Mytilus edulis: one gene and its partners. The protein of the gene in region 2 binds, or shares a complex with, the protein of the main gene of each other region. Links are inferred from orthologs where the notes say so. Each region holds a gene or a part of one and is shown on either strand. Other genes may lie near its edges.

Region 1 (7,391 bases), on a different chromosome or scaffold from region 2:
GAATTGTGCACATTCTGCTACAAGCATGAAATTTGGCATAGACCTTCCTCAACTATTACTCTTTTATTTCAGATAGGGAGGCATTTGAAAAAAATTGTCTCACTTCTGGTAAAATCCAAAATGGCAGACTTCATACTTAAATCAGCCCAATCTCTTGCACGTTAAAGACACCCTTGTAGATTTCGAAAAAGAGCAGGCTAATGCCGCTACAAGGCAGCACTCGCACCCGCAAAGTGGAAAGGGATTAATATAAGTTGCAAAACTTGTTTCCCAATCCACTATAAATAAATATGTTTAAACTAAATCAGCCCAATATCAAAGGCTAGTATTTGAAAAGGTGTTATTATCATGCTACAATCATAATATTACAAATCTTTGTTTTGTACTACTTTTTGGATATATTATATTGTTTAGATGTCTGCAAAAATCCTACTTCCAGTAAATTCCAACATGGCGGACATTGTACTAAAATAAGCTTATTTTTTAGGGAGGGTAATTGAAATGTGTTTAAACGTATTGCTACTATCATTACATTATGCAGGAACCTTTCTTTGGTGCTTCTAATGGATACAATGTATAAAAAATCTGTCTTTAAAACCCCCTACTTCCAGTAATATTCAAAATGGCGGACATAGAAATATCAATTCATTATTTAAATATTCAACTCCCTAAAAAATAAGCTTATTTAAGTACAATGTCCGCCATATTAGATATTACCGTAAGTAGGGTTTTTCAAGACATCTAATCTATATAATGTATCTAAAAGTAGTAAAAAACAAAGGTTTGTACCAAATATTATGATAGTAGCATGATTAAAACACCTTTTCACATACTAGCCTTCGATATTGGGCTGATTTAAGTATGAAGTCCGCCATTTTAGATTTTACCAGAAGTGCGATATTTTTTTCAATTGCCTCTCTATCTGAAATAAAAGAGTAATAGATGAGGAAGGTCTATGCCAAATTTCATGCTTGTAGCAGGATGTGCACAATTTTTCACCAAGCCGTCGTACTTATATAGGTTTATATTTATACTATAATACATGTGTAGGTATGTCTATAGCTACTCAGTGAAAAATTACAGTTTATTTATTGAATACTTATTGGCTTTACTGAGAGATACAATGAACTTGAGTACTAGCTCTGATAGATATCTAGGCAATCAATCAATGGAATATATTATATTCATTCTTTTGATGTGTTTGAACTTTTGATATTGCCATCTGATTAGAATCCAGGTCCATTCGCCCTAGTACATGTACCTGTTCGCCCTGATACCCTTTTGCCCTGATACCTGTTCGCACAGGGTTCATTCGCACTGATTTTTATGTTTTTCTAATTGTTGTCTAGTCACATAATTTAAAGTATTTGAACAAAATATGTTGAAGTTTGTTGAAAAATTGACAGAATATTTGTATTGCCGCAATCAATTTATCATTTTCCCTTTGATTTGCAGAGTAGAATACTGGAATACAATGTATTTATCTTTATTGATATTTGTTAACAAAATAATTGTATTCAGTCAACATGGTCAATCATGAATGTATACAGCATAACTGAGACTAGTCTCAGAGTATAAATAAAAGAACTTGTAAATCTGTTTCATCATTTACAATGTTACAGCTCGTACATTCATGACATTATGGCTTAAAATTATTAATTACAAGCTGAATATTTTATCAAAACAAAACGTTTGTTTTTATTATTAATCCATCAAAAGACAAGTATCACAATAATCAGTGATCTGAATTATTTTGTCATTGAACAATTAATGATCCTAAACAAGCCATAAACTTTTAAATATTTCCATGTTTCCATAAATTTCAAGAAAATATATACCATAGAAATATTTGAATAAAAGTTTATTCAACTTCAATGCCCTGAATATTAATATTTTTTTAGTAGGGTGAACAGACTCCAGTGGCGGATCCAGAACTTTTCCTAAGGGGGGCCCGCTGACTGACCTAAGGGGGGTATGCCCCAGTCATGCTTCAATGATTCCCTATATAATCAACCAAATTTTTCGCATGAAAAAGGGGGGGGGGGCAGGATCCGCCTATGGACTCTATGGGCGAACGAACTCAGAGTGAACAGACCCAAGGCTAACATGTTAAATTATTATTAAACTATTTTTGCTGGCACTCTGGCATGGCAGTAAAATCAAAGATATGAAACTTTGAAAGAACTAAAATAACTTGTAAATAATAACCAATAGAAGCAGAATTGTTACAGATTTATTTGTTTATTTGGTTATATTTTTTTTGAGGATCATTTTCATTTTTTCACAAGATAAACACAAATATTTTTTTGTTCAGAAATTCGCTATATTCAACCAAATTAAATTACAAAAAAATATTGTTTGTGTTCACATCGAGAGAAAACAAAAACACCTGAACGCTGAAGATAAAAGTATAACCAAATAAACAAACATTCTTTAGACAATATTCTACGTCTTTTAAGGCCTTGTTGATCAAAATCCAATCATAAACAGGTTATTCCTATAACCACCAATTGGTGGATTATACGTCAATTGAGGTATAATCCACCAATTGGTGGTTATTCCTGACCTGATAAATGCCCTATAAATATTTTTTTTTAAATGTGTTTTCTTTTAAATATATAGCAAACAAAATGCCTGTGACAAATACTTTTGGTCAGGTACTGTACAGATTATCGGTTTTAATACAAATGTATGCTTCAATTAAACCACAGATTTCTCCTATAATGTTTTGTTTGATATGCTGACTTTTTCTTAACATGAACAGGCTTGTTTTGAGAATTTGTTTTATTTTTTTCAGGTTTTATGGAAAGTGTTTAGAAGATTATAATGGTTTTCTTCCAAATTTTACCTCTCCGGACTCAATTTGTCCACCAACCATTACAAGAAATACTGAATTTGCTGTCATTTTTGTTTTGTTTGTGTAGTCTCAGTTTGTGCAGATCACTTCTATGTTGACAGACAAAATAATACTGTACGATACTACAAAAGGTATTCCGAGCGGGTATCAAGGTATTCCGAGCGGTTGATATCCGGCATTCTCGGCCCATTAAAAACTCGGACTATTACAAAATCGAGCTTTAAACAAAATCGGCCAACTGGAAGAAATTAGAATATACATCTAGTATGATAAAAGTTGTATAACTAATACAATATTATTTTGATATCATGTTTACATTTCAACCCAGGGTTTTTCTTTTTGCCATAAGGTGTCTTTCCTAATCTAATTTATAAACTGATAATTCTTGCATGTAAAATATAATTTATTTTGAACATTTTTAAAATGTTCAAAATAAATTATTCAATTATTCTAACTAGAGTTTAGATATTGAATGACAACAACTTTAATAACACTTTAATAACACAGGTCCTCGGGGGGGCCACTTGCTATATAATTAGTGGTAGGGATGAGCCGCTGGAATAGGTCACTTTTTCATGCTCTACGATATATGAAAAGGGTGAGAAATTCAGATGAAATATATCAATAGGTTGATATTATCACTTGCTTGATTATATCATAAGTATCTGAAACTAATCAGATGTCCGTATTTATTTTTGATGCGGTTAAACCACAGTCGTAAATGCATCAGTTATTTGTCAAACCAATTAAAATCTATTTATTCTGATGTGGTATTTCCACTGATGCCAGTGATAGATGCAATAAATCCAACTATTTTGACATTTGCACCTAATTAACATTCAAGGGTTTGTATACATAAAACATGATAACAATTATTTAAATAAATTCCATTGTGACAGCGTCCTTTAAGAGGGAAAGGCAATGAAACTTTTTATCAGTTTTAAATTAATATTTTAGCATGTTAAAATCAGTGAAGGTGTTACACTCTGCATGCTCTGGGGTGATATTACATTTATCTGACCACAGATGTAATACCATCTATGATCTGACCAAACGTCTTTTATATGTATTGTAATTTGGAATTGAAATATCTTTATAATGAAAGATGTAAAACGGCAATAAGAAAAAAGTGTTTAAGATGTGACGAATTTTTTGGAAAAGAAGGTGATATTATTGCGACTATTTACAAGATGATGAGCGGGGAAAATATTGGAAAATATTGAAATATATCTATAGGTCTGTTTTTTGTTAATTAATATATATGACAAGGTATATATTTTTGATTAACAAAATATATGAAAAGGGTGGGGTACTTGATGTCTCAGCTGCTCACCCCTACCAAAAAAAGTTTGAAGTGGCCCCCCCGAGCACAGGTCCTAAACAAGAACACCAGAAACGACACAGCCCTAGACCTTTTGTGTATGACCAATCCATCATTTGTTAATAGAATCGAAACATTACCACCAATCGGAGCAAGTGATCATGACATTGTTTACATAGAAATAAACTTAACTCTGCCGCAAAATAAGCAACAGGCTCATAAAGTACTACACTACAAATTAAAAGGCAAATTGGGAGCAAATAGAAAAAGATCTCACTGAAACATACAAACAACTAAAACAAGATCAAGATAATTAATTAAAATCTCGATGAACTTTGGAACCACTCGGTATGGAACACGTTAAAAAAAAAAACATCCAAAAATCTATTACCAAGCATATTCTAACAAAAAGCATTGGTAACAAATCAAAACTACCTTGGCCGGTAAATAACCAACTTAAAAAGCTCATTTAAAAGAAAAAGAAACTATATAAAAAGAAAAAGAAAAATCACAACTTATAAAAAAAAAACAATACCAAAAAATTAAAACCAAGCTCCAGAAAGAAATGAGAAACTCATACTGGCAATACATAGAAAATATGATTTTCGATATTGAAATAAAGGAGCCATATCAACCATGCTTCAAAAATACACCTTAAAAACTGTACTCTTACATCAAAAGCCAGAAATACGAAAACAGTTTCAGTCTGCATTTACATCTGAAGCAAACACTAAGTAACATTCCAGACAAAAGTCCTAGTAAATACCCCATAATGATACCCATTAAAATATCTAGGGATGGTGTTTACATAGACAATAATAGTGCATTGACTTGACATATCAATGATATAAGGATGAGGCTTAGAAACGGGGAAATGCGAGGCTCTGCCGAGCATTTTCCCCGTTTTGGGCCGAATCCTTATATATCGTTGATATGTCAAGTCAATGCACCATTATTGTCTTTATACTGCAATCTAAAAAAAACATTTTCAATTGTTGTTTATTGTGTTAATGTTATTTATTTGATTTAAATATTGGGAAAAATCCCCCTTTAAAAAGGCCTCATATCACACAGATGGAGAAATATAAAAACACGATGAAATGTACATCGATCATTACCGCAATCAATGATGAACGAATTCGTTGCAGACTAAAATATCATCAATAAACATAAAACATAATGATTTATAGGTTCCAAACAAAAAAATATTAATAAGTGAAATATGTTTTCCCAAAAATTGCAAAAGAAACAAGTTTGATTCGTTAAACGCATCGTTGTTTACATTGGAAACAAGAACAGGTTGAAGAGGTCGTATGAATAATTAAATACAATTTCGACAATTTCTATTTTTAAATATTCATGAGGAAAAGTGATATCAGGTCAGTGACCGTATATGGCATAGAAATATACAGTCAACGCATTTTGACTGCTCAAATAGAACGAGTGCAGTATAAAATTAAAACTAATTAAAAACATAAACCCGACTAAAGCTACCGGTCCTGATACCATCGCAGTCAAAGTACTTAAACAAAACATCGGAATATGTAGATATCCTCACTTTAATATTTACAAGATCAGATTCACTACAAACAGGCAAAGTACCATCTGACTGGAACCATGAAACTGTCACACCCATGCCAAGAAATTGACACCGTTGAAATTCTGCAAATATCCCATAGAGCAAATTACATGGATGATTAATATTGACCATTTGGTATATGGCCGTGTTCTTAGCGAGTACATAAAGGTCATAAATTAATTTGTTGAATGAAATTAAATCTGTATCTACTAATGGGTGCCGTAGGAGGTCCACCGAAATTTTTAGCTAGGATTTCTTGGCATGGATAACACAATAATATGAACCCCTTGCAGAAAGAAAGAAAGAAAGAAAGAAACACACATTAATCAATCAATCATGTTTCTTAGGTAAAAAAAGGGGGGGGAGACCGTTTACAATTGTTTTTTTTTTTTAAAGCAATTGATTTATATTGTAAAACGGCATACATGTATTAAAACTTCACAAAACAACATGTTGCAGCTACCTCGATCCCCGGCAAGAATTTCCGTAGAGAAAACTGAGAAATTGCAATGCCGTAAAAATCGCTTGTTGGTCCGTTAATCTCAATGAAATCCTACAATAAAATGTCTGCTCCTGTATTATAATAAAATCTGTGTTACAAGCTGCTTTTGAGAAATGTATATTGTAAGAAAATAATCAATAATCGTGTTTTAAAGTTACACAGGATAAATTAAATCCAAAGCATGCACTGCTCGTGAACTGTGATCGAAACGTCAATTTCCTACAATGACAAAAGAAATACATCGTGTGTATTCCCTCGTTATATACATGTTGTCGGTCTCCACCTAACAGATGTAAACAGAAAGAAATAAACTAAATTTTCACTATTATAAAGCCTCTTCACGTGACGCCACAACCTAGCGCGCGGGACCTAAAATAAATTAAAAACTTTCCTAACTAAATGTAAAACTTAACAGTGTATTTAAAAAAAGGGATAAATATTATACAACCCAAGCAACTATAGGCCTATATCCTTAACATGCATAGTTTGCAAATTACTCGAACATATCTTTGCAAGCAGCATTTGGATGAATCATCTAAAAACAAACAACACTCTGTATGAATTACAACATGGATCCGATTTAGGGCAAAACGATCATGTGAGACCCAAGTTATCTCACTGATTCATGAACTATTCCAAAACAATGACAAGAACATACAAACAGATCTCATAATCATGGATGTTGCTAAAGCTTTCGACAAGGTACCACTGACAAAAGATTACTATACAAAATGAAATACTTTAGAATATTAGATCAAATCATTAACTGGGTTGAATACTTTCTTTCAAACAGAACCCAAACAGTACTTTTAGAAAACATGTCATCTTCAAAAATACCTCATCAGGTGTCCCACAGGGTACAGTGCTAGGACCAATACTTTTCTTAATAAACATAAATGACCTCCCAGATTACATCCAACATAGCAAAATCAGACTCTTCGCAGATGACAATATAATCTATTGACAAATTAAAACTTTAAAAAACTGTCTTAAGCTGCAGGAAGACCTAGAAGCAGCCATACAATGGGGAAAAGATTGGCTTATTACTAACAATGACCACTGCCCTTTTCTCGATCTTGATATCTATATCACTAATGGAAAGCTGAATACTAAAATTTATGATACAAGGGAT
Region 2 (7,320 bases):
GCTGACGGTCGGACAAATAAAATGTACTACAAACATGACAAAAAATACTAACAGCAACAGATGTACAATGGGCAATGAAAATATAAAAATAGTATATAAATACATTGAACTTGATAGAACAATATTTTGCCACTTTCACTTTTCAATTACTTTGTAGGTTTATAATATACATTCTTTCTCTATTGAATTGATGGACTGTTCAATTGCTGCAGCTGTCATTGAAATTAAAAGTAATAACAGGAATTAAAAGTATAATAATAATACAAATCTGCTTTATACATGTACATGTATGTATAACATATAACATATTGGTTATAAATACATTAGTCATATATACATTTTGTACATGAATAGAAAAGAATATTTTTTTACATGAACTTGTAATATTGTGTGGAAATTAAAGGAGTTGGCACTAAAAATCAGAAAATTTCTCACTGCAAATAATGTGGTGAAAATTTGATAAAAAAATAAATAATCAGGGTTCTCACTAGGAATTTTTCATGGTGAGTCCAGGATGCATGTAATATTATTTTTTGCGTCTTAATATAATGAAATATGACGAAATAAAACTAAAACAATGCATGTTAAATTGTAGTTTTTATTAGATATTTATAAAAATTATGATCTCTTAATAGTAATTGTTCATTACAAAATATATAACAGACTTCTTTCTTGGTCTATCAATTCTTGGTGTAGGGCCACATTTAAAACAAATAATTTCAACATCGACTCCATTAAGTTTCTTGTCAAAACAATGTCGACAATCATAAATCTTATAGGCAAAACAATGTTTTTGGGACTCAGGGGATACAATCAGGATGCATTCCTGGGACTCACAGTTTCAAAAATGACTTGTATACGCGTCTTAACGAGAACTCTGATTCATCGGAGGTGTCCTTTGTTATTCTGTGGTTTATATGTTGTTGTGTAGTATTATATTATTTATTTGTGTATTTCTCTATCTTTTGTTTATTTGTAATGCTTGCATGAAATGTTGTAATTTTAGCAATATTTTTAACATTGCCATATACAATGTAAGAGAGAGGTTCGGCTAGCCATTAAACCAGGTTCATACCACCATGTTTTCTTAAAATGTCCTGTACCAGGAAAATGGCATTTATTATTAATTGTTTTCATGTTTGCGTTCGTTTTTGTTGCAGTTCAGTTTTCTGTTGTTCCGGTTGGTTTCTTCTTAGAATGTCTTATAAATGTAGTCATATAGTTAATGTACATTTGTATTTCCCTGGTTTTGTTTTAGCTTAATTAATTATTGACTTTTGAACAGTGGTATACTATTGTTGTATTTATTTATATGTTATAATAAGTTCAACTTATTGCCAACCAAAGTAATAAATTTTGACTACAATATACACCTTTCAATCATACAAGTAGCGTTAGACACAAAGCAAATCAAGATGCACTCAGTGGGTTGAAAGATGTTTTGTGTCTAACCTCTGACAGTGTTCCTGTTTGAAGGATAAAATCTTAAAGACTTTAAGTAAAAATGGTCTGAATCGTGCTTTAAAATCTATCTACTTTGTCTTTGAACAGGTTGGGCACAAGTCAGGAAATGTGGGATTCAGGTATTCCCTGCTTTCAGACTTACAACAATGTATTAGATATGTTATATGACAAATGTATCTGTATCTGTATTGTTACGTCGAAGGAATTCTAGTCAAATTGGCACCTGGTTAAATCGGCACTTGGTCAAATCGGCACTTAGTCAAATTGGCACCTGGTTAAATCGGCACTTGATGTAGTCAATTCGGCACCCATGTTAAATTTGTTTAATATTTACATTGTATGTTGTGTACAAGATGTAAGTTTGTACTACAGGTTTTTTTTGTACAAGTTATAAGTTTTTTGACACACATTTTCTTACACCAGGTGATACAAGTTTATCTTTAAAAATGTTCTAGTTCAATGTTTTAAATTCAAATGTATATACTTCAACCTAACATTTTGTGCTATTCTCCTTGTCCTCACAATGGAAATGAGGATACCTGAATGGTTTAAATTCGAATTTTATTATTTTTTATTTTCTCCTGATACCATATATCCATAAAAAGTCTTTTTGTGGTAATGTTTTTGTATTAATTCTCACTATTAGATTGTATCATATAGTTGTGAAAATATTAACAGAAATATGCGAAACATTTTTAGAATTATTTATATATATCTGGGACTATTATGCTAGTATACTTGAATTACTAACTTAGCATAATAGTCCCAGTACCATATATTATATCAAATATTATTGGATGTCGAATTGATTTTAAATAGGTGCTGATTTGACTAGATGCCGATTTAACCAGGTGTCGATTTGACTTTTTCTATGGGTGCCGATTTGACTTGTACCCACCTCCAATATTGGCTTTTACTCGACGGGTATGATCTATTATCTAATATATAAACTTTGTTCTATTTACTTTAGCAAGGTTTTAGAGGAAAGTAAACTACATTTTAAATATCCAGTTCATTTGATTTTGCCAACTTTTCGTTCAGTTTCAATTACCGTACGTTTCTCAATTAACATGATTAAAGATTTTAAATAGCACAACCCTTTTTTACAAGAAAACTGTCAAACTATTATACATGAATAGTCTCATCTTTATCGATACATAAAATTTATTATGTCAGAATTAATAAGAGTCAAAAGGTTTTCCAACGAATAAAAATCAAACTCAATCTATACGAAATGAGTGAATATAAAGATTGCAACCTAAAAATTGAAAAATTCAGGTCAGATCATGTTTTTGTGGTAAACATTGACATTTATTTTGTTGTTTCTTACACAAAATTACAATTATTACAAGAATTGTGTATATCCTGTTTATTATTGTTGCACTAGACAGTGCGTAAAATTGTGAATAATATCAGACTTGTGATAAATGCTATTAAAACATGTGTAAATTTTCAAAACTTTACCTTCATCCGCCATTTTTGTTTACGTTTGGCAACCAGATATAACGCCTCATTCGATTGGTTGAAATATTATCAATGACCAACATCACTTTTATAAATTATATCTAATTCTGCTGATCACTTTTTATCATTATAAAATTAACATTGAACTCTTTTTAAATTGTCCAGTAAGACATAAACCACACTTTTTTTTAACAGTGATTATGACGGGGTGGAAAAAAGGGGGGGGGGCAACAAATTAATACAAATATCATTATTAAATACCGTTTCCGAGCATGACTAACATTGATGGTCTCATCTTTATTGCTACATTGATGTCAGAAGTTATAAGAGTTTTCCGACGAATAAAAATCAAACTAAGTCTATATGAGACAATATATGAAAATGTCTTATTTCAGTTTGGCAATAGGAAAAAAAATGTCTTTAAAACCGGTACTTTAACATAGTTTAAATAGCACAAATCGAAGAACACAAATTGAGGATCTAGGAACTGTTGTCTGTAATTCAAACAGTTTTCGACTTGTCGGCCAAAAAAGTAGATTGCTTTTTGTCAAAAAAGTTTGTCTGGACAAACTGAATCCATAGCCCCCCTTCCCCCCCGAAAATCAAATGGTTGCTGCCTAATGGGAATAAAGAATAAGTTAAAGATTCTATTTGTGGTATACTAGTATATCATGACAGAACGTAACAGAAAGGAATTACACAGTACTCAAGTTTTTGTCCTTTTATATGAATTGTGTTGAATTTTACTCCATCTACATATCAATTTAATAAGATACTATAAAAACACATTTACTGTTATATGGTGCTGACAATGAAATATTCTCAGAAGGTACACAAAAAGACTTTAACAGAAGAGAACAACAAAATTATTCTTCCTAAATTCTTTTCTTTGGGGAGTTAGGATTTTTCAAACTGGCTGCCAGTCACCTATACATATGGAGTCAAACATTCAGGAAATGATGCTATTCGCATTACATTACAAGACATCGAATTTTGGTCTTTCAAACGGTTCCACAGGTGAAAAAAACTTGTGGTAACAGGAGGGAAATTACCCCTTGAGACAAAATTTAAAAGACCCTTAAAAATGCAAAATTTTATCACATGCTTCAGTTATAACAAAATCAGACCAGTAAGGGACAAGTTTTCTATATGATCTATCATATTTGTGAAAATCGGAAGCCTGTTTACTTAATTTGGATATTCTTTGAATGATTTAGTTGTCAGATAACACCACCGGACAACAAGAATTTTTGGGGGTTGAATATTCAAATTATAATATTTTATTGGAAGAAATATAAGAAAGAGTATTTAATTGGCAATAGTTGGTGCATTATATACTCTAGTTAATACTGAAACTTAAAATTAAAAAAAAATCTGGTTGAATACAAAAATAGAGAGCCGTGGTGTAGTGGTTATAGTGCATCGGACTACTAACACAAAGGTTCCTGGTTCGATTCCCGTTGCGGGATGAAAATTTCAGGGATTGAATTTTCGGCTATCCCTTGTCACTATTTGCGAGTATGGTCTTGAGGAAACGATGATAGTCCGTCGGAAGGGGACGATAAATTGCTGATCCATGTTAAGAGAGAGCCATATCTCTTGCACGTGAACATGGTGAAAGACACTCTTGTAGATTTCGAAAAAGAGCAGGCTAATGTCGCTACAAGGCAGCACTCGCACCCGCAACTGAAGTGGAAAGGGATAAATATAAGTTGCATAAAACTTGTTTCCCAATCCACTATAAATAAATATGTTTAAACTAATAAAAAAATAATTGCTGGTAAAAGATGGAACATGGAAATATACTTTTGCAGATATCGTCTCATATACGAAATGAATCGATCAGTATGGCAACGTTGACAAAAAAAGATATGTTTTGCTATTAAAAAATCATTTTTTTATTATTAAGAATTATTTTATCTAATATTGAAAATGCATTTTCTAATATTAGAGATTGAATTTCTAACATTAAGAAATGAATTTCTAATATTAAAAATTCATTTTCTAATATTAAAAATTCATTTTCTAATATTAGAGAATGAATTTCTAATACATATGAAGAAATGAATTTATAATTTTCGGAAATGATTTCTTATTTTCGGAAATGAATTTCTCATATTTAGAAATTAATTTCTAACATGAAAAAAAGAAAAAAAAAACCCACGATTTCTTAATATTAAAAAATAAATTTGTAATATTAGAAAATGAATTTAAAGATAAATGAGATCATGTTTCCAGTGCTGGTAAACATTGGCAGTTCTTTTGTTGTTTCTTCAATACACATACAATTACAATTAATATATGGCACGTAACTGAAAAGTCTTTAAAAAGGACCAACCAGCAAATTTAATCAGCACCGAATCGAGTAGAATCGGCGATACTGCGCACATTAAGGAAAACAAATATTGGTCTAATAGTATTAAGTTTCTGGAACGATAATAAGATGAAGATGGTTGTCACTAAACTATTTTTAAATCGTCTCCGTTTAATACCATCTTATATTTATAGTACCGTTGCGCAAATCTTAGGGCTCTTGAATATTAATTATTCAGTAGTTTTAAGATAATATATAATACGACGCAGGCGTTACATGTGAAAGGGAACGAAGTCCGTATCATTTTTTTCTTCATTCTAACATATTTTAATGTTAAAAAAGAAACTGAAATAACATTGTAATGCTGGGTCTTCCAAGTGCTCCACAAAACCTCTTTCTAAATTCTTTACATAAATTTTTATCAACAATCAAAGCCGGACTTCAAAGTTATTGTGAAAGTTCATATTCTAGTGTTGGTGTGGATCACTAAAACATTCCAAAGATATCTTATAGCTCATACAGTCTAGGACTCATGCATCTTACAATTTAGTAATAAAACATTTGACTTTTTCTTTACTTTACACAAGTATTCCCCATTCCAAACTAAAAGACAAATTCAAACAGTTTGTCATGCTTTTATCTCATAAAAAAGAATGGCTTAAGTAGATCCACGTATCTTGTCTGAAGGAGGGATAAATTCTCGGATGAATCGTACCTTGTAAAACACCACTCTTATTCAAACAAAAAATCAATTACTGATATTGTCAAGATGCTTGATTAAACTTAAAGACAAATTGAAACAGTTTGTCATGTTTTTATCTCACAAAAAAGAATGGCTTAAGTAGATCCACGCATCTTGTCTGAAGGAGGGATAAATCCTCGGATAAATCATACCTTGTAAAACACCACTCTTATTCAAACAAAAAAAATCAATTACTGATATTGTCAAGATGCTTGATTAAACTTAAAGACAAATTGAAACAGTTTGTCATGTTTTTATCTCACGAAAAAGAATGGCTTAAGTAGATCCACGTATCTTGTCTGAAGGAGGGATAAATTCTCGGATGAATCGTACCTTGTAAAACACCACTCTTATTCAAACAAAAAAAATCAATTACTGATATTGTCAAGATGCTTGATTTCTTGATAGACAACATCTTTGTTACCTTCGGAGGACATGTTTTTCAACAAAGAATCCACATTTCCATCGGAACCAACGGTGCTCTCGTTATTGTCGACTTGTTCCTTTATTCATGAGGCTGGTTTTATGCAGGAATTTCCTTGGAAGAAAGAAAAACAGTATCCTTTTACTTAACTTTCCGCTATATATATACAGATCATGTTCTCTCACTTAATAAAAATTCAAATTTTGGTAACTGTGTTGAACGCATCTACCGCCCCCCATGGAACTTGAGATAAAATATACAACAGATACAGTAAATTCTGCTTCACATCTTGACTAACATCTAGGAATTGACGAGACTCGGTTGAAAACAAAACTGTACGACAGAAGAGATGATTTCAGCTTCCCAATTTCTATGTAACAACATTCCAGCAGCGCCTGCATACCGAGCATATATATTTCAATTGATACAATATTTCAGGGCTTGTGTTTCCGACCATGGTTTCATTGATAGAGGGTTGCTGCTCACAAGGAAGCTATTGAAACAAGTGTTCCAAGTGTCGAATTTAAAGTCTTACCTTCAAATAATGTACGGACGCCATTTCAAGTTAGTTGACCATTATAAAATATATGTTTCAGAGATTTGCTGCTCACAAGGAAGCTATTGAACCAAGTGTTCCAAGTGTTGAATTTAAAGTCTTGCCTTCAAATATTGTACGGACGTCATTTCGGGTTAGTTGACCATTATAAAATATATGTTTCAGAAATTTACGACGGATATGTTCCATTTGTCGTCATAACAATATTACTTTCTTCACATGTTCCCCAAATGTGTCTTACCGAATTAAGACGCATTACCATATTTGTCCTGACATTAGCAACACGACGGGTGCCACGTGTTGAGCAGGATCTGCTTACCTTTCGGAGAACCCAGCTTTTGATGGGGTTCGTGTTG
Region 3 (7,246 bases), on a different chromosome or scaffold from region 2:
TTTTCACAGCAGTGGGAGTATTTTCCCTGTAAATTTCAAGGTTTCAATAAATTTTCATCAAAAAATTTCACTGTTGAAATTAGTAGGGGTTATTAAAATTCTATATAAGTTTTTTATTGCATCCTTGGAAATCTGATTTAAATACATATCTGTTTTAAAATCCTTTTTAAGGGTTAATCATGATACATAGTTGTGGAGGCAGAAATTTCATTGTTTGACATAAATTCCTAGAACAAAAGGTGCAAAATATAGAACTGAATGGAGCAGAGATGAGTGCTTGATAGTGTTCATTATATCGTTAATTCATTGTAATATTTTGTATTGATTGCCTTGCATTCTCTGAGGACTGTAGCTGTTTCCATTATAGATTGGTAGGTTCTGAGATCTGTTATCATGATGATAGGGATTTCAACTTTCTTATTTAAGGAAAACTACAAGGCATTAATGATTTATTGGTAAAGATCCAAGTTTTTCTGTACCCAGTTTTCAATCCATTACCATGGCATTTGTGCAATATCCAGGGTGACATGGTTCACCTTATTTCATGGATTTTCTTGCATTGTTTTAGTCTTTTAAACACTATATTATACATTTGAGAACGATTCAGGTAAGTGAGGATGTACTTTGGTTATGGCAATATTAATGTATTCATTGATGTTTTAATGAAGGTTAATTACTTTCTGGTAGTATGACTTGTCAAAGCAATGCTTGCATTGTGACAAAGTTAACAAAATGCTCCCATTAATCTGTGCAAATAAATGTTTTCCACTCAAATAATTTGAGAATCATTAACATTTGTTCTTGGTTGTATTTTTTTTTGGAAGAAACAATGTTGAAAGATCTACTTTAAACTTAAATCATGCTTTTTACTAATGTTCATTCAACATCAAGGATTATCTAGGATTTTCCTTACATACCCTGGTCCGTGTTTTACCATTGTCTACATTGTCATGATTGTCAAGTCAACATTTTGAGAGTCGTGGTGTAGTGCATCAGACTACTGACAGGTTCCTGGATCGATTCCCGTTCGGGATGAAAATTTCAGGGACTGAATTTTCGGCTCTCCTTTGACACCATTTGCAAGTATGGTCTTGAGGAAATGATGATAGTCCGTCAGAAGGGGACAATAAATGGCTGACCCGTGTTAAGAGAGAGCCATATCTCTTGCACGTTAAAGACACCCTTGTAGATTTCTAAGAAGAGCAGACTAATGCAGCTACAAGGCAGCACTTGCACCCGCAAAGTGGAAAGGGATTAATATAAGTTGCAAAACTTGTTTCCCAATCCACTATAAATAAATATGTTTAAACTAAGTCAACATTTGGTATAAGTAAATGTGATTTCGAAAAATGCAAGTAAAGTTTTTTTTGAAAATATTATTTAGCATGAATAAAGATTCTAAGGGCAAGGTAGGTATAAGCATGTACAAATGTTTATGTTGTATTTCCCATACTTTGATTGATGAATTGTCAATTAAAAACTTTAGTCAGTACATTGAGTTTGTATCATATAAATTCAAGTTTAATATCGTTTTTATGTCTGACAATCATCATTGTTTATTTGATGCCCAACTGATTATCATGATTACCTTAAGCTTACGTTGCAGTATTTACATGTATATAATTAGTCTTAAGGGATTAAAATTGAGGTAAGACATAAATAGACCAGCTGGCAGAAATATTTCTTAAGAGCCGTTGATGACAGTCACAGTGCAATGTTTACTTGTCATTTCTATGTTCTCAATGTGTTCCAAATTGAAGTTTGTCATAAGTTGTTCAATTAAGGGTTATCAATCATATTTAATTAATTTTTTTGAGAATCAGTTAACATTACCTTCTTTTAACATTGATTTAGGGTTCTTACATTACATTATTTCCAAAATTTCTATGAAAGATTTATAGTTAGTTAAGGTCACGGCATGCTTACAATCTGTGAGGGGGGATAGGACCTTAATCAGGACTCCTGGATCGGGTGTTTTTAAGCTTGGCATTTCGGGATTGACCCTTTTGGGATTTGGGAAATCTTTTTTTCGATTTTCGGGACTTCAGGATTTCGCATTTTTAAGCCTGGGATTTCAGGATTTCATGTTTTTAAGCCCAGGATTTCGGGATCAGGACCCCTCCTACCTCTTCTCATCTGTTGATGAAATTAAGAGTACTGGAAGACCATTATTCTATAGCAATTATTATTATAGTATTATACAATATGTATGAAGTTCTTGATAAAACAAAACCATTTTCTTTGTAAAAAAAGTCTATTTTACAATGTCCAAAAGTTTTGCAATAAAACTTAGCCATTAAACTACTTAAAACAAGATATTCACAATTTTTGTTAATGGACATGATAGGCAAGCTCAAGTTTCACTTTAGGCCAAATATGGCCTTAAATTTATAAAATTTCAAAATGACCAGAATTGGCTGTCAGGATTCTACTTTGTCAATTTAATTTTGTCTGACTTCTTTTAAAAAAAAAAATCAATATGGGTCCCATTTAGCTGTTTGGGTATGGGTGATCACTGCAGAAGTGAGCGGCATTATTTTGTAAATAAATTTGTAGAGTGCTTTGATTCTTAAGATTGTGTAACATGCAACACAAACAAATTTTGTTTTGAATGCAAAATTAGATATGTTGCTGTAGTTGGATTACTTTGTCTATGAAAACTTATCTTGTAATGATTCACCATGTTTAAATCCCATTTTGTTTCAGTGTGTAATCCTGTTCCCTGGTATATTAATTTTTAATACTCTTACATTTATAACTTTGACCAAGATGAACAAAACTATCATAGGAGAAAAACAGACTTACATGTTATTAATAAAATCTTAAAAATAGTACCATGATTTTAATCATGTTAAAATAATAGTAGGGTGAAAGAATACAGTACTCTATGGACTGAAAAACCAAGGGCAAATAAACTCTGGGTGAACATGTTTTTAGGGTTAACAGACGGGCTACCAACTGGTTTAGTGGCAAAAATTCTTGAAAGCTCACGAGGCCACATGTAGACAGTTTTTAATTCTTTTTTATTGAGCCTTATATATTTTCACTTCTATAAACCAAGATGTACAAAAATACCAAGTTTGGTAAACAGTAGCAGTACCATAAACATGATAAATGCTTTTTTTTGTACTCTGACACATAAATTATTTTACGTATTTTTTTATATTCTGTAACTTTGTGTTCAACGTGTCTAAATGTCCTATTATATTATTTATGTTTGCATTTCTCTGTCCTTGTTCTTGCATTTATTTGTACTGTTTTCCTGTCATGTAATGTTGTCATTTTAGGGGTATATTTACATTGCCTTGAACATGTGTAAGTATAAAGTTTGGCTAGCCACAAGACCAATTTCAACCTACATTTTTTTCTTATAATTAATGTCCTTTACCAAGTCAGGAATATGGCAGTTGTTATCGAATAGTTTGTTTATTCGTAAATATTGCATTGTCGTTTGTTTTTTGTTGCACTTCAGTGTTTCTGTTGTTTTCCTCTTATACAATGTAGTTGATGTGTTTCCCTCGGTTTTAGTTTGTAACCCCAGATTCGTGTGTCTCATTCGATTTATGACTTTAGTTTTAAACAGCAGTATACTTCGATTCTGTTGCCTTTGTTTTAAATTATGGACAAATCATATAATTATCAATTATACTTCATGTCAACACCTGTAAATAAGTAATTTTCACGTTTGAAACGGAATATACAGCAAAATCTCTTTACATAAAATGTTATTTGAATTGAACTCTTTTATAACATGGCCGAAACGACCAAGGCCGACATGGAACCATCAACCATGGACGAAACTTTTCCAATACATCATTACATTGGCATTGCATGCAATTTTTCCACAGAACTTACATATATAAAGGGAATTTTAACCGCATGTGAACGTTTGTACCCTAACATATTGAGACCAATCGTGCCCACTTAAACATGCCATTACAGTACTTTTTACGGTAAAGCTGTGTCGATAAATCAGAAAACCACGCGTACTTGCATGGAAAACATGGTCTGCAAATAACATTGTATAGGAAATATTAGCGGCTAAAATGAATTTTTAGTGTACCTAATGTATTGTTTAACAGATTGGTCATGTAGTTATTGCAAGCAAGTCACTGGTTACGTGAAAACGATCTTTTTCTCCATGTAGCATTTTGCTGTTTTACTGTAAAAATGGCGACCAAATGATAAAAAGTAACCGGAAGTCACCGAAACGGGATAAATATTAGTGAATTGAAAATTACATTTGAAATGGCAAAAATAACCAGATGTGATTTATTACATTCACCAATTTCAAAGAAAAGTTTTTTGAATTTTTAAAAATTTCATAACTATATCAATAAAGGCTTGAATAGTTTGAATACATTTTTATGTGATAAAAAGCGTTCTGACGATCTTGACTACTCGACAACAACAGCTCACAACAATCATGGAAGACAAGTGCGCGAAGTTGATCTTACTATTGAACATTTTTGTTGTTGTTCGTTGTCAGTCTCAATATAAAGCTTTTGAAAACATAACTGATTGTAAAGAAACTGGGCTGTTCTTTCAATACTACCAAACATCATCATTGAAATGTTTAACGTGTCCAGAAAATAGTACTTCTATGACTGTTAGTTCTGATGGTAAGATCATGCCCAAACAAGACATGTTCATCATAACAAATGCTGAAATGGCTCTATTTACACCTTAAAACAAACTTTGAGTACAAACTAACCTGTTCAAACGGAAAAGTTTTAAGGACTGACATCCAATAAATTCTGTTATCCGAACATACGGGCATTTTTAAAATCAGTTTTCTCCCTTTCTTAGTAACGCCGATTTCCGTTGATAAGGCGGTGAAACATTGTTAGTATGGTTATCGTGTTAATAAAATTTCATCGTGAATTAATGTGTATTTTTTTTCGTGTACTTGTTGTGATGTAGGTTTGTTAAAATCGTAACTTGAAAAGCTGAAATAATTAATATGAGGCAGGCATTACCTGTAAATGGGGACGAAGTCAGTATAAATTATTTTTTTGTAACTTAAATATTTGTTAAAATAAAAAGAAACGGAAATACCGTAACGTTTCCGATTTTGGTTCTGTTGTTAGGGATTTTAGTTGTGACGTTATTTAAATTATGACGTCATATGCAATGTAAACAACGAAACGCTATCATCAGGTAACGTTTTTTTCATATCAAGGAATTATTAAAAATGAAATTGGTACTGCGCGTTCCTTCCTATTTTATACTAGACTGATAAATATATATTTTACTCAAAGTTTCATACAAACGAGACCGGAAAAAGGAAGTACATTGTACATTTCTGCGCATGTCCGGGATTTCAAAACATGACATAAAAAAAATTGAACGATTTTGAGTTCATTAGTACAATGAAAAATTCGGGAAATTTTCCCGAATTTTTTTTTTTATTGAATTTTCTACTGTTATTGGGGACTTCGTCCCCATATTAATCTTTACACTTAATATGCAGCTAGCCTACAAATTTCCGCTTTAAAAGTCAATTCTTTCACTCTCTTGTGTATATAATTAATTCATAATCTGCAGAAAAATTAATTAAAACCATTCTTATTATTTCATTCATTTTTCTTTCTTTCTACTGTAGTAGAAACGGAGACGACTTACTGAGTGAGAATACAATATCACATCTTTGCAATCTTTGCCTTGTTTAATTTTCCTTAATCAAGGTCATGTGCAAATTAAGTTAGGTAATAAAAATGTCGACATCAAAGAAACGTTGAGAAAGGTAAATATTAACTTGGTCATCTGGCCATGGTTGATTTTTGGTATCCAGCCGGGTTATTAGGTACGTGTGAAGTTAAGGATGACAGCGGTAATTAAGAATACTAGAATTTCTTCTAAACTTTAACAACAAAATGTTGATGTTATGATGTTAATTCAGAAACGCGAACGAAGACATTACTTATTAAAGGTGTATGAATATTCATTGATTGAGATGATAAACATTTGAAGACATTAAAAAAAAAACGCACTTTAAAACATTAACCCACAGAAAAACTTATTTTTGAATATAATTTGGTTACTGTCGAAAGGAATACACATAACACTCAGCCGGAGAAAGAAGATAATTTTTCTCATGGGTTGGTGATTTTTTAGGCAGTTAAGCTGCCTTATGCGAGCACCCTGGATTTGTGTTCTACCCAATAAATGCTGAAATACGTGCCATTGTTATCATCTAGCTGGCTACTATGTTATTTATAACTTATTGGACAGTTTTTTCATACTTTTCATTCTGGATTACAAAAAATATGACCAGAAAAACCTTAAATGATCGTCGATTTTCCCAAAAGTTTTGAAGTTGCACATAGAAAGTAGAGCACATTAGGAATCCTTATGTAGTTTATTATCCCCTGAGCTTTTGGCTATGATGTCAAAGAACAAATGTATGAAATATTTAATCGCCGTAAATCTCTAAAGACAAGTGGTTAAGATTTCCCAAATTGCAAAAGTCGTAGGAATATTGTTTGTCGTCAATACGTAGTCAACTACATCAGTAGTCTATTAATATAAGTCCAACTGATCACGCTGTTGGCGGCAATTTTGAATTAGAAGACGAAATGTTCGTATCTTTTCAATTTGGACGCAGGGGTTCAAATAAGCGGTTGTCCGAGGTCTGCGACATTCCACTTTTGCAGTCGGACTTTCTACTTGGTTACTAGCTACGCCCGACATGCCCGACGGACCTTGAAAGAAAATAAAAATAACTTTGCAAACGTTTTTACCAAAGTTTCGATCTAATAAACGATCACAAACTTATTTTAATCATTACTATTTATGACAGCGATGTTCAATTTGTTCAACTGCTAGCTTTATACAGAAAATCGCCGACATATAATGTGTAAATCCGAGTAAAATCGTATCTCACTATCTGTCAAAAACAACAAAATGGCTGCCGCGAGAAGACAATTATAATATCGGATCCGATTCCGGAAACGGATAAGGGTAATCCCGGGTTTTGGCTATTAACTAAAAAAAATTCAGACAGGTGACAAAATACATCTTTGCATGGTAAAGAAATATAAACACTAGAATTGAAAACCAAAACATATATGTAAAAGAAAGAAAAAGCAGAAAATAGTTTGTACACCAATTTTAATGTCAAAATCCAATACAATGTGACAGCTGGGAACAGTTTATCTGACAATATATATGTTCCTGGTAACAGTATAAATTTTCTTTATCAGTGATAAATGTTGGTAATGCATGTTAGATGCTTTTAAAGTTA
Region 4 (7,841 bases), on a different chromosome or scaffold from region 2:
GTTTAGACAAGTTGTATATATATATAGAATGATAGACTGTTTTAAGTCAGACCTGTATAACAGATTTAAATGAAGTGAATGAGAAAAATAACACCTGCCTTTTAGCAGGTTTATATGTACATTTTTTTTTACTTACAATTAGTTTCTATAAATAGATTATCTAATGGCTGACTTTTGAGTACAATAGATTCTGTAGAGTAGGGATGAGGTATAACATCTTCGTCTTTCTTGCCGTCTGGTGTTACAATATCTTCTTGTATGGTTGACAAGTCTGCAGCAAATGCTGCATCCATAAACTCATCTCCAACTCTAGGTGAGGCTTTCTTCACCTTTTTCTTCACTTTTTTTTTTGGTGTTGTCTTTTTATCATCTTTAGATATTAGGCTTGTTTTACTACCACCAACTTCCTGGAAATAAATCAATTATTATCATAAGTACAAATGAACCTGTTATTACTATTTCAGTTTGAAAGTTTCTTCACTTAAGAATTAAGTTCAAATTAATTATCATAACAGTAATGTAATCTTGAAAATTATTATTTGCTGCTTCTTCGATAATGTAGCTTTTACATGTACATGTAGGAGTAAGAGCAAAAATGGGTCAGTTCAAAGTCAGAAATATGTGTTGGGTACCTGGTAAGGTGATATATAGTCTTGCAGACTATTACCTTGTAAGCTACAAGTAGCATGTTAAAAATATTGCTTTAAAGCCTGTCAGAGTACAAGGTATGGTCTATCTTCATATCACTTTATCATATTCTCATCATGAATTATGAATATATGCATATAAATTCGTTACTGGACATTAAACAGCCATCCATACTGAAATCAATATACAAGTGAATCCCAATTTTTTATTTAATGGTATTTTTTCAGCATTTTTATTATTATTATACTAGCGCATTAACTATGTTGTTTGAGGCTGCCGTGTAGTAATATGAACCATTTCTCCAAAATTTGTTTATATCTGATAACTTAGTAACAGTTTATAAAATTATATTGAGACTCAGAGTTCGTTCTGTTTCTTGTGAAACTACAATGTACTGCCTTATCCAGTACTGGGGTTGCCATGTAAATGAGATCGAATCCAGGTACATTCGCGCCCATTCTGGTTCCACTCCTTTAATTTTCGCTCCCTATATGTTCGCTCCCAAAGTTCGTTCCCACCCTTTTTATTTGTTTTGTCAATGATTTTTATAGTAAAAATAAGAGGTTTTGTGTTTAATAATTTTGTAATAGAGTTCTATATAAATCTATATCATGTTTTGGTTAGTGAACATATCACTATTTCAAAAATAAAGTTAGATTCTGTCTTTTTATGGTTTGTTAAATAAATATTTATCATGTTTTGGTTGTGTATTGCTATAAGTATTTTTTTTCAATGACATTGAAATGTTTCAAAATAAAGTACCATTCTGACAAAGTTTTGTATTGAATAAATCTTAATCATATTTTGGTTATTTACACCAAAGTATAATAATTAAAACCACCATCACGATTTTCTGACACAAGACAATAATACCAAATTTAGCTGTGTATAAATACCAATTATCATCAAATTAATAAAAAAAATAAAACCATGTACAAAAACTGTAATAATTCCTCAATTTTTATTTAGGAAAATATAATTTATTTGCTTAATACAATTACATATAAATAAATATCTAATAATTGATCTGGAATTTGAATAAAAATTGGGCCTGAATGTGTACTATGGTGTAGGGTGCTAACAGACCCAGGGGGCAAACATGTGAGGTGCAAACTTGCAGGGTGTGAAAGTGTATTGGATGAAATGACATCCAGAACTATGCAAGTTGTTTGAATACTGCCAATTACACGGTATCGGGACCGTTCGCCCTAATGACATGTTCGCCCTAGGGTCGTTCCCTCTGAGTTCGTTCGCCCATAGTGTCTGTTCGTCCTACTATAAAAATATCAATATGAATTGAAGTTGAATAAATTTATTGAGATATTTCTATGGTACATGTACAATGTATATATATCATGTATATTCTTGATATTTATGGAAACATTGCAGAGTTTATTGCTTGTTTAGGATCATTAATTGTTTAAAGAAAAAATAATTCGGATCACTGGTTATTGTGATACTTGTCTTTTGATGGATTAATAATAAAAACAAACGTGTTATTTTGATAAAATATTCAGCTTGAAATTAATAAAAACAATTGATTACGGCAATATAAATATTCTGTCAATTTTTCAACAAACTTTAACATATTTTGTTCAAATACTTAAATAATGCAACTAGACAACAAATAGAAAAAAATAAAAATTGGGTGAATGGACCCTTGACGAACAGGTATCAGGGCGAACAGATACTAGGGCGAACATGAATCAGGGTGAACGGACCCAGATTCCAATTACACCACTACTTCAGTCATGTTTTTTTTTTATATAAACGAAGGAAAATATAATTGATTTCAGAAACAGATGATTAGAAATAATGGAAAAATTAATTTATCCTAAAGTATTCCCTAAAAGTTACTCATCTTATAAACCTATTCCTTATTCAGATGTTATTTAATGGTTATCCTAGGCCTTTTCTGGTCAAGTCCAAACACATCATTTTTTTAAATGTCTTTACATGTATCTTGTATATTTCGTATTAGAATGAAAGCAGATCTTTATGACAATAACCTCTTGACTAGCAGCACTTCTTGCTGATGTAGGTTGTCCATCTTCAGCCTGTTCTGGTGGTTTGCGTTTCTTCCTTTTCCTTGGAGTTGGTTTGTCTCCATCTTCTGTTGCAACAGGTGCTTTCTTCTTTTTAGGAGTAGTGGCTGTTGATCCGGTTTCGCCATTTTCTGTTGCTTCGGTTGGTTTCTTTTTCTTTTTTCTTACTGGTCTTTTCTGGACATCAGTTTCTTCTGATGCCTGTGTAACTGGTGGCAATTTCTTTTTCTTCGGAGGATTTTCATTGTCGGCCATTTTTGTATCCAATAAACAAAACAACTTCCGGTAACTTTCGGATAATTCTCTTCGTTTCGGAATCCACCAGCAGTCTTCCTAAAAAGTTGCAGGAAAATGTCTAAAAAGCATTCAGTTTTGTTTATTTGCCTTGGTAATCTAACTCCTTCTAACTTAGACAATTTGTTAGCCCGTAATAACTTATTTCCATCTTTTTAAAGGGTAAAAAGCTTTCACGATTTAATGAAACATCCAATCACCGTAAGGACAAATCGCCCCACACCAAATCGCCCCACTTTTTCACTAACTCGCCCCACTTTTAAAAAAATCGCCTCAAACTGAAAAGGGTTAAATTGCATTATTTTTTCTCCTGCAAACTCGCCCCACTTAATGAAAAGGTCAAATCTAGATGAATATATAATTTGCAGGTCTGCCAACTTGCCCCACTCAAAAACTATGAAGTGGCATGACTCAATTCATCAGGACTTTTCTATTTTCCATAAGTGGGGCAAGTTTGCAAGACTCAATTCATCAAGATTTTTCTATTTTAACAAGTGGTGCTAGTTAATTAGCATTCACGTCACAGAAATTCTGATACTCACTTCTTAATTTTTTTTTCAACAAAAAGAAAAGAACCACCAAAAAGATATAAGAAGATGTGGTATGACTGTCAATGAGACAACTCAGTCTCCATCCAAGACACCATTTGTAAAAGAAAAACCATTGTAGGTCAAAGTTAAGCGTCTTCAACATGAAAGTAGTAATGCCCTTTATCAACAGGCATCAAACAGTCATTTTCGGCTACCATAAGCGTCAAATTGGTTAAAAAAATTTTGATGATTTGTCAAAGATCTTTATTGTGATTCGTCAGCGGTCTCAAATAATTATTGTTACCGTCATTTTTGGAAAAAAATTAACGTGATTCGTCTAAATTAGTTACTATTTTTATCGACTCAAAGAAAGTACATTTAATCGTCATACACCAAAAATTTTCTCTAACGCCATTTGGCAAGAATAAGTACGGTTATTTGTCATGAAGGTACCCTCATTACTACCCTAACACCGAACAGTAAGCTAATAAAGGGCCCCCAAAATGACTAGTGTAAAACCATTCAGACGGGAGAAAAATGTTATCTAAGGTTTTCATAGGTATTGATTTTATTTACTTAAGTGGGAGAGGAAAATAGATATATATACAATGGGAATGCACCTTTTGCATCAAGTGGGGCGAGTTGGCATTACTAAATTCATCAGTATTTATCTATTTTTCACAAGTGGGGCGAGGTGGCATGCCTTATTTCAGAGGCTTTTTTTACCCATTTCATAAAAGGGAGCAAGTTATCCAACCTATTTTCAATGGGAGTTTACCCTTTTTCATAGGTGGGGCAAGTTGCACAGGCACTTGTCTCAGAATTTAATTTTCCTATATACCTTAATATATATATAGTGGTTTTTTTCTTAGACAAGTGCCTGTGGCAATTTGGTAAACAAAAGTGCGATTGTTCAAATAGTGGGGCGATTAGGTGTGGGGCAATTGCCAGTGGGGCGATTTTTCATGGATTCCAATCACCATAGATTACCAGTTTCATAATAAACTGCCAGGACCCTCATTCGGTGACCACATATATTTTGATTCTAGTTTTTTCACATCCAAAATGAAAGCTAAAATTAATTGCTTGCTACCCTATATAAAGAAAAGAAAATTTTTACAGTGATGAAAGAAAATCTGCTATGTTGTAAATTTAGTGGGAAATTTTTTACAAAGCAATCATAAACTAAAACTGAAATGATAAGATTAGAAAAAATTGTTTTGATTCAGCATAAGTAAAATATACATTACAAGCTCTAACCTGGAGCTTTTGACCAATTATATTTATAAAAGTGCAGTTTTATGTACAATAAAATAATATTGAAAGGGGTGTTCTTAATATTACACTTTTCCAAAATTTTGTTGCAATCTTAAATTTTGATTTATAATACAAAGAACTCTCTGAATGTAATTTTTCAATAAAAAAAGAACATGCAGCACCATGTACAAAAATGTATGTACTTAGCAGATTTATTCACACCCAATTGTTAAAAACATTTTTTACAACACATTTTTATAATCATGAAAATGAACATGGTGATCTGTAAGATGAAAACACATATGATTGCATGCAACTGTTGTCTGTCGCCTATTGAAAAGCTAAAATACTTCCTTTAAAACTAGTATCCAACTAGTTGGTCATGTTGATGAACAAATAAATGTTGGACAAAACAACAATTGATTCTCTTATGAAATAAAGTATCATACATGTAAAATAAATACCACAAAAAATAATTATTATGAATTGACGGTTTCATTCTCTAAAATCAATTGATGCTTGGGATTGTAATCTTAATATTTAATGAAAAGCCAAGTGAATATATTTGAAATTAAATCACTTAGAACTGTTTTCCTGATATATAAAAAGATATAAAAAATAATGGTAATGACTAATATAATTTGAGAATATCTTAGAAATTTTTTTTTTGGTTTATATAACCGCCAACCTCATCATGCATATTGAAAACAATTTATTATTTAGATAGTATCATTAGCTCAATCCTTTGTGGAACCATACAACATTGCTGTACTTTTAAATACAAAATTTATATATACATTTTGTTTAATATGCTGTCTGACTCTGATTCAAAGATTTTAAAACAATAAAAAAAGATGTTTATATTGAAAGCATTAATCATGTTAATTTTAAGGAATTAATTCCTTTTAACAGTAAAGTTTGACTGAACTGTAACAGACTGAAAAAGTAGATTTGTGGAAATATCAATGATAAAGAAACTAATAGAAAAAAAATTAAGCATATTTCATATAGGAGGGGGGATCAAACCTTTATTGGGACTCCAGGATCAGCTGTTTTTAACCTTGGAATTTCATGATTGATCCTTTCAGGATCTTGTAATTCCTTTTTCAAATTTTGGGATGTCAGGATTTAAATTTCTTTAAATTCAGGACCTCTGGAATTTATGTTTTTAAGCTCAGGATTTCGGGACCAGGACCCCTCCAACCCCCTCATATAGAGACTGAAGGTTACATTGACTATATTAATTGAATGTGTGATTGTTTTGATTTCTTGCTGTTTCATTGAATCTAATTTGTTGTAAGCTTCACATCCCTTTTTAAACATACTGGTAATCTTTTCATTTTAACATAATTTTATCATTTCAGTGTAAAAATGACTCATGCAAATGAATATAAATAAAAGGAGATATGGGTTATACACAGGGGTCGAATTTAAGCTTTTTTGTGTACTGGCCAGCCGGACCAGTGGACTAAAAACTCTACTGGTCCGGCTCCAAATCTACTGGTCTTTTTTTCACATGTTGTACAGTTCATTAAATTCCGATCTACTATATAATTCAACCATTCGCGATCTTTTTCCCATGATTTTTATACGACCGCAAATTTTGAAAAAATTTTCGTCGTATATTGCTATCACGTTGGCGTCTGCGTCGTCGTCGTCGTCGTCGTCGTCGTCGTCGTCGTCGTCGTCGTCGTCGTCGTCGTCGTCGTCGTCGTCCGGCGTCCGAATACTTTTAGTTTTCGCACTCTAACTTTAGTAAAAGTGAATGGAAATCTATGAAATTTTAACACAAGGTTTATGACCACAAAAGGAAGGTTGGTATTGATTTTGGGAGTTTTGGTCCCAACATTTTAGGAATTAGGGGCCAAAAAGGGCCCAAATAAGCATTTTCTTGGTTTTCGCACTATAACTTTAGTTTAAGTTAATAGAAATCTATGAAATTTTGACACAAGGTTTATGACCACAAAAGAATGGTTGGGATTGATTTTGGGAGTTTTGGTCTCAACAGTTTAGGAATTAGGGGCCAAAAAAGGGCCCAAATAAGCATTATTCTTGGTTTTCGCACAATAACATTAGTTTAAGTAAATAGAAATCAATGAAATTTAAACACAATGTTAATGACTACAAAAGGAAGGTTGGTATTGATTTTGGAAGTTTAGGTCCCAACAGTTTAGGAATTAGGGGCCAAAAAGGGACCCAAATAAGCATTTTTCTTGGTTTTCGCACCATAACGTTAGTATAAGTAAATAGAAATCTATGAAATTTAAACACAAGGTTTATGACCATAAAAGAAAGGTTGGGTTTGATTTTGGGAGTTTTGGTCCCAACATAATAAGGGGCCCAAAGGGTCCAAAATTAAACTTTTGTTTGATTTCATCAAAATTGAATAATTGGGGTTCTTTGATATGCTGAATCTAACTGTCATGACTGTGTATGTAGATTCTTAACTTTTGGTCCCGTTTTCAAATTGGTCTACATTAAGGTCCAAAGGGTCCAAAATTAAACTTAGTTTGATTTTGACAAAAAATGAATCAGTTAGGTTCTTTGATATGCTGAATCTAAAAATGTACTTAGATTCTTGATTATTGGCCCAGTTTTCAAGTTGGTCCAAATCGGGGTCCAAAATTAAACTTTGTTTGATTTCATCAAAAATTGAATAAATGGGGTTCTTTGATATTCCAAATCTAACTGTGTATGTAGATTCTTCATTTTTGGTCCTGTTTTCAAATTGGTCTACACTAAAGTCCAAAGGGTCCAAAATTAAACTTAGTCTGATTTTAACAAAAATTGAAATCTTGAAGTTCTTTGATATGCTGAATCCAAAAATGTACTTAGATTTTTTATTATGGGCCCAGTTTTCAAGTTGGTCCAAATCAGGATCTAAAATTATTATATTAAGTATTGTGTAATAGCAAGTCTTTTCAATTGCACAGTATTGCGCAATGGCAAGAAATATCTAATTGCACAATATTGTGAAATATCAAATTTTTTTTTAATTAGAGTTATCTTTCTTTGTCCAGAATAGTAAGCAAGAAATATCTAATTGCAAAATATTGTGCAATAGCAA

The links.
Region 1: jouberin-like (region 2) and B9 domain-containing protein 1-like share a complex: the UniProt entries of both Homo sapiens proteins name them as parts of the tectonic-like complex. The link is inferred for Mytilus edulis from reciprocal best matches to the Homo sapiens genes AHI1 and B9D1.
Region 3: jouberin-like (region 2) and meckelin-like share a complex: the UniProt entries of both Homo sapiens proteins name them as parts of the tectonic-like complex. The link is inferred for Mytilus edulis from reciprocal best matches to the Homo sapiens genes AHI1 and TMEM67.
Region 4: jouberin-like (region 2) and transmembrane protein 237-like share a complex: the UniProt entries of both Homo sapiens proteins name them as parts of the tectonic-like complex. The link is inferred for Mytilus edulis from reciprocal best matches to the Homo sapiens genes AHI1 and TMEM237.

Annotation. Positions count from the first base shown.
Region 1 is NC_092352.1:63,763,106-63,770,496, reverse strand, and holds the start of B9 domain-containing protein 1-like, read right to left. Parts: upstream 3,006-7,391; 5' UTR 2,906-3,005; coding exon 2,849-2,905; intron 1-2,848. UniProt on the Homo sapiens protein: Component of the tectonic-like complex, a complex localized at the transition zone of primary cilia and acting as a barrier that prevents diffusion of transmembrane proteins between the cilia and plasma membranes.
Region 2 is NC_092344.1:20,716,284-20,723,603, forward strand, and holds the start of jouberin-like, read right to left. Parts: upstream 3,021-7,320; 5' UTR 2,942-3,020; coding exon 2,929-2,941; intron 1-2,928. UniProt on the Homo sapiens protein: Involved in vesicle trafficking and required for ciliogenesis, formation of primary non-motile cilium, and recruitment of RAB8A to the basal body of primary cilium.
Region 3 is NC_092348.1:16,559,129-16,566,374, forward strand, and holds the start of meckelin-like, read left to right. Parts: upstream 1-4,220; 5' UTR 4,221-4,426; coding exon 4,427-4,622; intron 4,623-7,246. UniProt on the Homo sapiens protein: Required for ciliary structure and function. Part of the tectonic-like complex which is required for tissue-specific ciliogenesis and may regulate ciliary membrane composition.
Region 4 is NC_092350.1:20,110,229-20,118,069, reverse strand, and holds the start of transmembrane protein 237-like, read right to left. Parts: upstream 3,022-7,841; 5' UTR 2,949-3,021; coding exon 2,658-2,948; intron 408-2,657; coding exon 137-407; intron 1-136. Other genes in the region: low molecular weight phosphotyrosine protein phosphatase-like, read left to right, coding at 3,045-3,081. UniProt on the Homo sapiens protein: Component of the transition zone in primary cilia. Required for ciliogenesis.